2 linked regions of the Bombyx mori genome follow. The protein of the gene in region 1 binds, or shares a complex with, the protein of each later gene. Links are inferred from orthologs where the notes say so. Each region holds a gene or a part of one and is shown on either strand. Other genes may lie near its edges.

Region 1 (3,836 bases):
GTAAATGTAACATTCCAATTTCAACAACTAACAATTAGTCCTATTACCTTAAAAACTAAAATTTTCAAAACTTCGATGAATATAAAATGGATATAATAATCATGAAACTGAACCGTAAAACTATTTTAAAATCAATTCTGCAACAGGTGATGTAACAGAGTGTGTAGTAATATTGTGACCCTTCACTTTTAAAGAGGTAACACAAAAAGGAATACACTCAAGTTTATTATTTGTAGGAAGTTACATACCTAGGTAGGATTGATATTATGAATATATTTATTGGCATCTTTTAAAATACCACAATTTACCAACCTTAAAGTAATAAAGTAATTGTAAAAAGTTAAAGTAATAATAAAGTTGTAAAGTTTTAATTTAATTAAAGCCATAATCTCCTTAGAAACATGTGATTTTTGTTGTATTTTATTATGGATAAGATGTATAAAATCACATCATGTTAGAAGTAACCGTTACTATCCACAAAATCAGCTAACATTCATATTGTCATTTTACAGAGAATAACCTATTATTAGGTACGAGGCAAGGCCATTTATTGATGTACTCTTTATCAACAAATAATGAAGAGCAAAAGTATCAGGTACATTTGTTAAGATACAGGAAGAATTTTAGCAAAAAACCTATTCAGCAAATTGAAGTTATACTGGGTATTTATATTATTGTTTTAGTCAAATTATGTTTAAATAATTTTATTAGATGATGTTATAAGTAAATTTGGTATTAGAGAACAGGTTGTGCTTTACATACTTATGTAAAAGGATCCTGCAATAGTTTATACACTCTGGCTATATGAGTATATAATCCTGGTCTTTTCTGGCAATTATGATTGCAATCCCTTAACTCAATTGCAATAGCAGTACCCAATAATCAATAATCTTTCTCCTTCCCAAATACTTTCTGTCTTCTATCTTAACTTTAAATTTACAGGTTAGGTATTGGGTAATCAAATTGTATTCACTCCATTTTAATGCGTATTTTTTGTCTGTAAGTGATAGTGATCATTCACTCGTGAAAACAAAAAAATAAATAAATTTATATAATTATGTGTCATAGTGGTTCTGTGAACAAAGATTCTATTGATTTGATTCATACTATAATCTTTTCTATAAGAACATTTTAGTATCTGATTATTGTGGTATAGTTGCTTTCTCCTATACTGCAATAATTTTTTTGGAGCTGTTACTTATACAGTAATGTTTTTGCATTTCAGATGAAAATCTATTATTATGTCTGACAGATTCTACACTAGCTACATACAACATTAATGGTGTTAATTTTCCATTAATAAAAACTTTTGAACAGACAAAGGGTGCTTCACTTTTTGCTTTGGATTGTAAGGTTAGATTCATTGAAATATCTAGCTTTCGCATTAATTCATTACTGTTACTGACATCAAGAGATTTGTTTCACCCATGGTGCCATATCAGATTGAAGACTGGATTTTTACCAGTGTAGCAGAAGAGATTATGAACCAACTGCCAAGTGTTAAGTGGCTTCTGTTATGTACACTGCAGCATGAATACTGTTGTCCACCTGTAGAAACAATCTGAAAGTCTGAATTTTTTTCAAATCATAATATTATATCATTTTAAGTGGACATGGCAATGACCATGGCATTCCCTCAAATTTGAGGGAATCGTGGGAATAATTAAGTAATGTAATAACATAGGGATAATAATTCTGTAGAGGGATGAGATGGAACTCATGGCAACTATACTGAGATCTTAGAACTTATATCTCAAGGTGGGTGGCGCATTTACGTCGTAGATGTCCATGGGCTCCAGTAACCACTTAACATCAGGTGGGCTGTGAGTTTGTCCATCCATCTAAGCAATAAAAAAAAAAAAATGAACGGTTATTCTACTATATCTAATCTTCATGTTACATAATCCATATTTCATTTATAGCTTCTTTATGTTCAAGACAAAACAGTAAATATTTGTTGAGCAGTTTCTCTTCTTATAACTTTCCAATAACCCTTTTCTATTATATTACAAAAATCTATTCATGGTTTGGTAAAAGTATTTAAATTTCTTTTATTTTAAAACTTTAAAAGGTTAAGTTAATAAAAATTTATAATAACATCATGGAACTGACATATGTTATATTTAAAATAATCCATTTCACTACTGCTGCACATTCGCTAGCATTAAAATTGTAAGATTATGAAATGTGGCATTCTAGTATCAATCCATTGTTACTGCTTGGTAGAACACTCATTAGAATTCATAATATTACTATTCAATTTTCAGGTTTCATCAAGTAATGGTGCAGCGTCATCTGATGTTCGTCTTTGCGTTGCAGTAAGGAGGAAACTTCAAGTGTACTGCGGGAGTAAGGGTGAATTTAAACACATGCTAGATCTAAATATACCAGATGTACCAAAAGTAATGGCCTGGGGTCTGCAGTATCTATGTGTGGGATTTAAAGCAGAGTACACCCTATATGATGTAAGCAAACGAAATCCAATGTACAGTGAAAAGCACGAACCAATGAATGATTTGTTAAATATAGCTTTTTTTTATTGCTTAGATGTGTGGACGAGCTCACAGCCCACTTGGTGTTAAGTGGTTACTGGAGCCCATAGACATCTACGACGTATATGCGCCACACACCTTGAGATATAAGTTCTAAGGTATAGTTACAACAGCTGCCATGTTTGTGTTTGTGTCTATTCTAAATCTAAATGAGGACGATGCTGGTATTACTTAATATCCAGTTGGCTTTTCGGCTGTATTTTTTTTGGCCCAAGTACACCTTAGTGCCAATAGTACTTTATTAGAAGTTGATCTTGAATATGAAGTAAAAATATAAAGAGAACTCAATGTTATGCTTGTTGTTTATATAATGTTCTATGGTCTAAAAAGGTTTTTTACATTAATTATTGAGTGATTGGTACGACAGAGTTGTTATCCTCAAGTAATTAGATAAAAAATATGACAACTCAGAATAATCATATTGTCTAATAATCACTGGCCATATCTATAAAAGTCGATATGTTGTATCTAAAAATAGTTTGTTCCCTATAGGGTCCGAAACAGCTGGACCGATTTCGACGACATTTTTAGGAAATCTTAGCGATCGGATCAAAGTAAAATCAAAGATTTAGAAATATATATGTATAAAACCAAAAATGAAAAAAAATGTAAATTAACAGTTAAATAATTATGTCTCTAAATAATAAAATTAGAGAATGTAGGCATTATGTTACGAGGTAGTCTGTGAAAATGGCCATTGAATTTCATACCTCAGTTCAAGCGAGCTCGCGCCTCGACGTGATGATGGCTGCTTTTTGATACGAAATAAGCAAAAAGATATGAGTCGTCTATTATCAAAGGTGGCAATCTGTGCATTTGGACAAAAAAAAATTATTGATATGTCAATACAGATTGATTTGAATATATCGTCTCCTTCAAAGAATACGGTTCAAAACCTGCATTAAATAAAGGTTAATAGTTAACCTGTTATTTATCTAAGATGTCGTTCCGAAGAGTTTTGTGACTGCCAATGGAATACAAAGTGAATAATTCGTTTTTCTGATTTACCAATCATTGTCCAAAAGTCAGATTGCCGGCTTTGATAATAGTCGACTCATATAGTCGATTTGCATAGTTACATTCTGCATACCATTTTATTACATTTTTCAGGTGTCAGATGGAAAACCAAAAGAACTATTTCCCACAAGTAGTTCTAAATCATTAGAGCCAACTATTTCTAAGTACACAGAGACATCTTTCCTAGTAGGACGTGACCAAACATCGGTTCTTATAGAGGAGTCTAATAAAAATGTCGATATAAAGAAAACTATTAAATGGAAGGAG
Region 2 (4,483 bases), on another chromosome or scaffold:
AAGAAAATACCGTGGACATAAAAGTAAATGTCACAACCAACTTACCCTGAAATAGTATGTCTAGACTCAGTCGTATTGCATTAAAAGAGCTGCTTGCAAAAAACAGAAAAGAGGATATATCAACAACTATTTCAACAATAAATAATAAAAAATATACCTGTTGTGTATAAACATATTAGTGTTTTAAGAACTTTTTTACCAAACGATGTCAAATGCTTTTCATAAATAAAAGGATTAAATCTATTAATTCTATTAAATTGAGACTGCATGTTTACTGCTTTTCGGTTTCCCGCCAAATGTTTTTTTTTCATTCAACTGCTTTTTTTTAATTAAGACAAAAAAAATTTTTTGGAGCTTGTGGCCTGGTATAGCCTCGTTACCTTTAGGCCAAATTATGACAATTCTGGTGATGCTATTATTGCCAATGTCTATAAAAAATTTAAATGTTAAGTTTATAAAAATCTTCAATTAAAAAATAGATACATATTCTGATAAATGGAAAATGAAATGATGAAAAAATGAATTAAATTTGCTTTATTTGAAACTGTAATTAATTGGGATGAAATTAATTAACACGAAAAGAGAAGAGATGAAATAAAAACTCAGTAAAATAGTGGTTATAAGACTATTTTATCTGATCAATGAGAATTCAGTGGACCTTTTGGAAGAACGTGAGACAACGTCCAGCAAGTTACCATTATTATCGTTTATGCTTACAGAAACATTTTTAAATAATACAATTCACACAACCTCGCACCTTACGTATCGCTAAAAAGCTAATTAGATTCGAACCAAATAATATTGACGGATCTTATATATTCTGTTGATAGCGGTAAATACACATTTCATACTTTTCTAATACATATATAAATATATAAGTTAGACAACCAAATGATTTTTTAAATCTTGATAGGCTCGCTATGAGCGATGCTAGGTGAATTGTTTTATTTGTTTATTTAGTGTTCCTCTAAGGTTAAATGAATTACAATAGCGACTTAAAAACCATTTAGCATTTACGAAAATACATGCAATATATGTGCTGTAAGAGGTAATTTCCGGTTCTTCCATGAATTGATGTACTCATGTTATATTATTATCTACTTCATATAATTATGGAGCTGAATGATGCTACCATTGTGAACTTCTTTGGATTGGATTTTTCTGCTGGGTCTAATCCACTTAAAAGGATTAATTAAAGTCTAGTCTAAGTCTTTTGATTTTGTTATTTAATATTTGATTACGATGGTGGAACGGAACGGTGGTTTAATAGCTGTTTAGGATCTGTAAAAATGCACAAAAATGCGGGAAAATAAAAAAAAAACACTGAAATAAAAAAAAGACGAAGCATGTACTAAAAAGTCCACTAACATAATCTCAGTAAAGAAACTCCCATTTTACTACGACTATAATTCATCCCATCTGAATTCGATTTCTGTAATTTCATCCCAATCCATTACAGTATTAAATAAATCAATTTCACATCATTTCACCTATATTCTTTTTTTTTCATAACATTTTTAGATAACAGAATATATGTCATGTATAAAAGATTACAGTGTATGGTAATCGCCTTAACCTTCGCCAAACCTGATGGAAAATGGGACTTCTACTATAAGCTATCGTTTCACAAACCGTGCAAGCCACAATAAAAAAAAAACTTGTTTTGTCAAATTCAGTTAAATGTCAAAATCAGAAAGACAATAATCAAATTCAGAAAAGTGCAGAACAGAACAAACGAAAGAAGAATTACGTTTTTATTATTAAAATGTGATTTTTTTAAACGGTTGAAATTCAAAACAATGGCTGTTAATATTGAGAGCTGCGAAAGCTTGCCTCCCGATGAGGAGCCGAAGCTAAAATACGATAGAATGGAAAATGATTTATTGAATATTTTACTGAAAGACGCTGTCAGTTGTATTTGTGTTCACACCAAATTCATCTGTATCGGAACACGTTGGGGTGTGATACACCTGCTAGATCACGAAGGTAACATAGTTGCTATATCCCAGGACGGGAAGACTGAATTCCAGGCTCATACTATCGCTGTCAACCAAATATCTGTAGACCAAAATGGGGATTACATAGCGAGTTGTTCAGACGATGGTAAAGTTGTCGTATATGGATTGTACAGTAATGATAACACGCACAACCTAAATTTAGGCAGGGCAGTGAAATCAGTTGCATTGGATCCTTGCTACTTCAAGTCAGGTTCAGGAAGAAGATTTCTTACAGGTAAAAAACGTTGTACTTAGTATGAATAGAATATTTAGGAAATCCTTTAAACCTCATAACCAAGTCTTATGTAAAAAACTAGTACATAAATAGTCAATAAAATATATAAATGTCGAATTTAAAATGAATTTATTCTGTAGTAATAATTAAATAATTGAGAACGAATTACACACATCTGGCCCCAGATAAGGATGTCCTGAATTATGAATGTTAATTGTAAATGAATTATGAATGTGGCTGCCCCACCCTTCAAACTGAAATGCATTACCGCTTCACGGCAGAAATAGGCAGGGTGGTGGTACCTACCCATGCGGACTCACAAGAGGTCCCACCACCAGTAAAAAAGACAAATCTGAAATTATTCAAAATGAATCTATTGAAAATGAATGAATCTATAAAAATATTCTGTAAATATATGGTAGGTATACAATATCACTGTTTAAAATGAAACTATAGTTAGATAAAAAAACACAACTACATTTATGCCAGGTCATTACACATTAACCATATAACTTGTGTATAAATCCACCTACTCTGCCTAGTAAATTTTTATTGACTTGAATACATTGACTTTTTGCATTAAAAGTGTACAATTTCCAAAAATATTCGAAATTGAGTTAATATGCTTAAATATTTGGTATCACCAGTATTTTTCTCATAAATACTGTCAAAAGAGTGTAGTTTAGTTTTAGTTTTTTTTAGTTTACCTATGATTTTACTACTATTAATAAAATCAATACATAATTTTATCTTACTTTATAAGACAGATAATGTAACTGATAATAAAAAAAAAAATGTTGCAAAGATGATTAATATTAAAAATATTACATGTTAAACCTTTAAAACACTCTCCTATAAAATTAGTTAGTTTTGAAATTATACAGTTTTAATGCGAGAAGAGGACATGTGTTCAAAAGATTATAAAACTTGAAGCATACATGTGATTCTAGAGCTGATCATACATGGCTTGAACGTACAACTTCACTTCATTAAACAATATAAATATAAACAACATTCAGATCATAATTCAAATCGTTTTATTTTTTCGCAACTTTGCTTGTAAATTATGAAAAGGCAAACTCGGGCAGAAATTTTGTGGATGTTCCCTTCCCTTTCCCTAAACTCACCCATAGTACGTAACTTATGCTTCCCTTAATCGTTTTGTCCTTTCTCTGCTTATGATGCATTCGTGATTTCCAGTGTTAAAGGAAGGAACTTCCATATTACGATGCCATTAAGACTATTAACTCATGTCTTGAGGTACGACGATAGTGACATCGTGACATAGTTTCCAGTAAACACTAAATTACCAAGTGAGTTATGAGTTTGTTTGCTCATCCAAAATTATAACATGTGTATTCTTCCAGGTGATCACAGATTGACACTATATGAAAAATCATTCCTTAATCGAATACGAACTACAGTATTACATGAATGCAAGGGAAACGTACAAGCCATGTCCTGGCAAGACAGGTTTGTAGCATGGGCAAGTGAAGTTGGGGTCCGTGTTTATGACCTAGTTGCTAAATGCTCTCTAGGTCTCATCCAATGGGAAAAGAACCTAAATAGATCTATTGAAGACTACCGCTGCAATCTTCTCTGGTCTGCTCCTAAGACTCTAATGATCGGCTGGGTTGATACCATCAGGATATGTGTCATTAGAAAGCGAAGTCAAATTGAATTACAGACTCGTGATGTCACAGAATACCTCGTGGATCCAATATATACCTACCAAATAGATTATTTTATAGGAGGTCTGGGCCCTTTGGACGATCTATTAGTTTTATTAGCCGTTCCAAAAGAATGCGATCCTAAAACCGGAAAGTCGCAAATGCCCGTTTTAATAGTGGCGAATTATAAAGGCTGCGAATTCTGCGAGATATCTTGGGAGACTTTAGACATAAGGGGCTACCAAGAATATAACTGTAATGATTACCATTTAGATATGCTTATAGAAGAAAACAGATTTTTTATTGTTTCCCCCAAAGACATTATCATAGCGAGCCCTTACGACATTGACGATAGAGTCACTTGGTTGACCCAACATAGAAGGTTCGAAAAAGCTATTGCCGTGTTGGAAGAGGTCGGTGGTAAAACTTCTAAGCACTCCGTGATGACGGTGGGCGTACAGTATTTAGATCACTTGCTCTCTGAACATCTTTATCAAGAGGCTGCCATTCTCTGTGCCAGAATATTTAAAAACGATAAAGTTTTATTAGAAAATCAAATATTAAAGTTTGCCGGCGTCAAA

What was found.
Region 2: vam6/Vps39-like protein (region 1) and vacuolar protein sorting-associated protein 41 homolog share a complex: the UniProt entries of both Homo sapiens proteins name them as parts of the homotypic fusion and vacuole protein sorting (HOPS) complex. The link is inferred for Bombyx mori from reciprocal best matches to the Homo sapiens genes VPS39 and VPS41.

The regions. Positions count from the first base shown.
Region 1 is NC_085124.1:8,481,834-8,485,669, reverse strand, and holds part of vam6/Vps39-like protein, read left to right. Parts: intron 1-512; coding exon 513-662; intron 663-1,225; coding exon 1,226-1,353; intron 1,354-2,267; coding exon 2,268-2,465; intron 2,466-3,662; coding exon 3,663-3,836. UniProt on the Homo sapiens protein: Regulator of TGF-beta/activin signaling, inhibiting SMAD3- and activating SMAD2-dependent transcription.
Region 2 is NC_085123.1:777,296-781,778, forward strand, and holds the start of vacuolar protein sorting-associated protein 41 homolog, read left to right. Parts: upstream 1-1,574; 5' UTR 1,575-1,799; coding exon 1,800-2,232; intron 2,233-3,599; coding exon 3,600-4,483. Other genes in the region: DNA polymerase nu, read right to left, coding at 158-311. UniProt on the Homo sapiens protein: Plays a role in vesicle-mediated protein trafficking to lysosomal compartments including the endocytic membrane transport and autophagic pathways. Acts as a component of the HOPS endosomal tethering complex.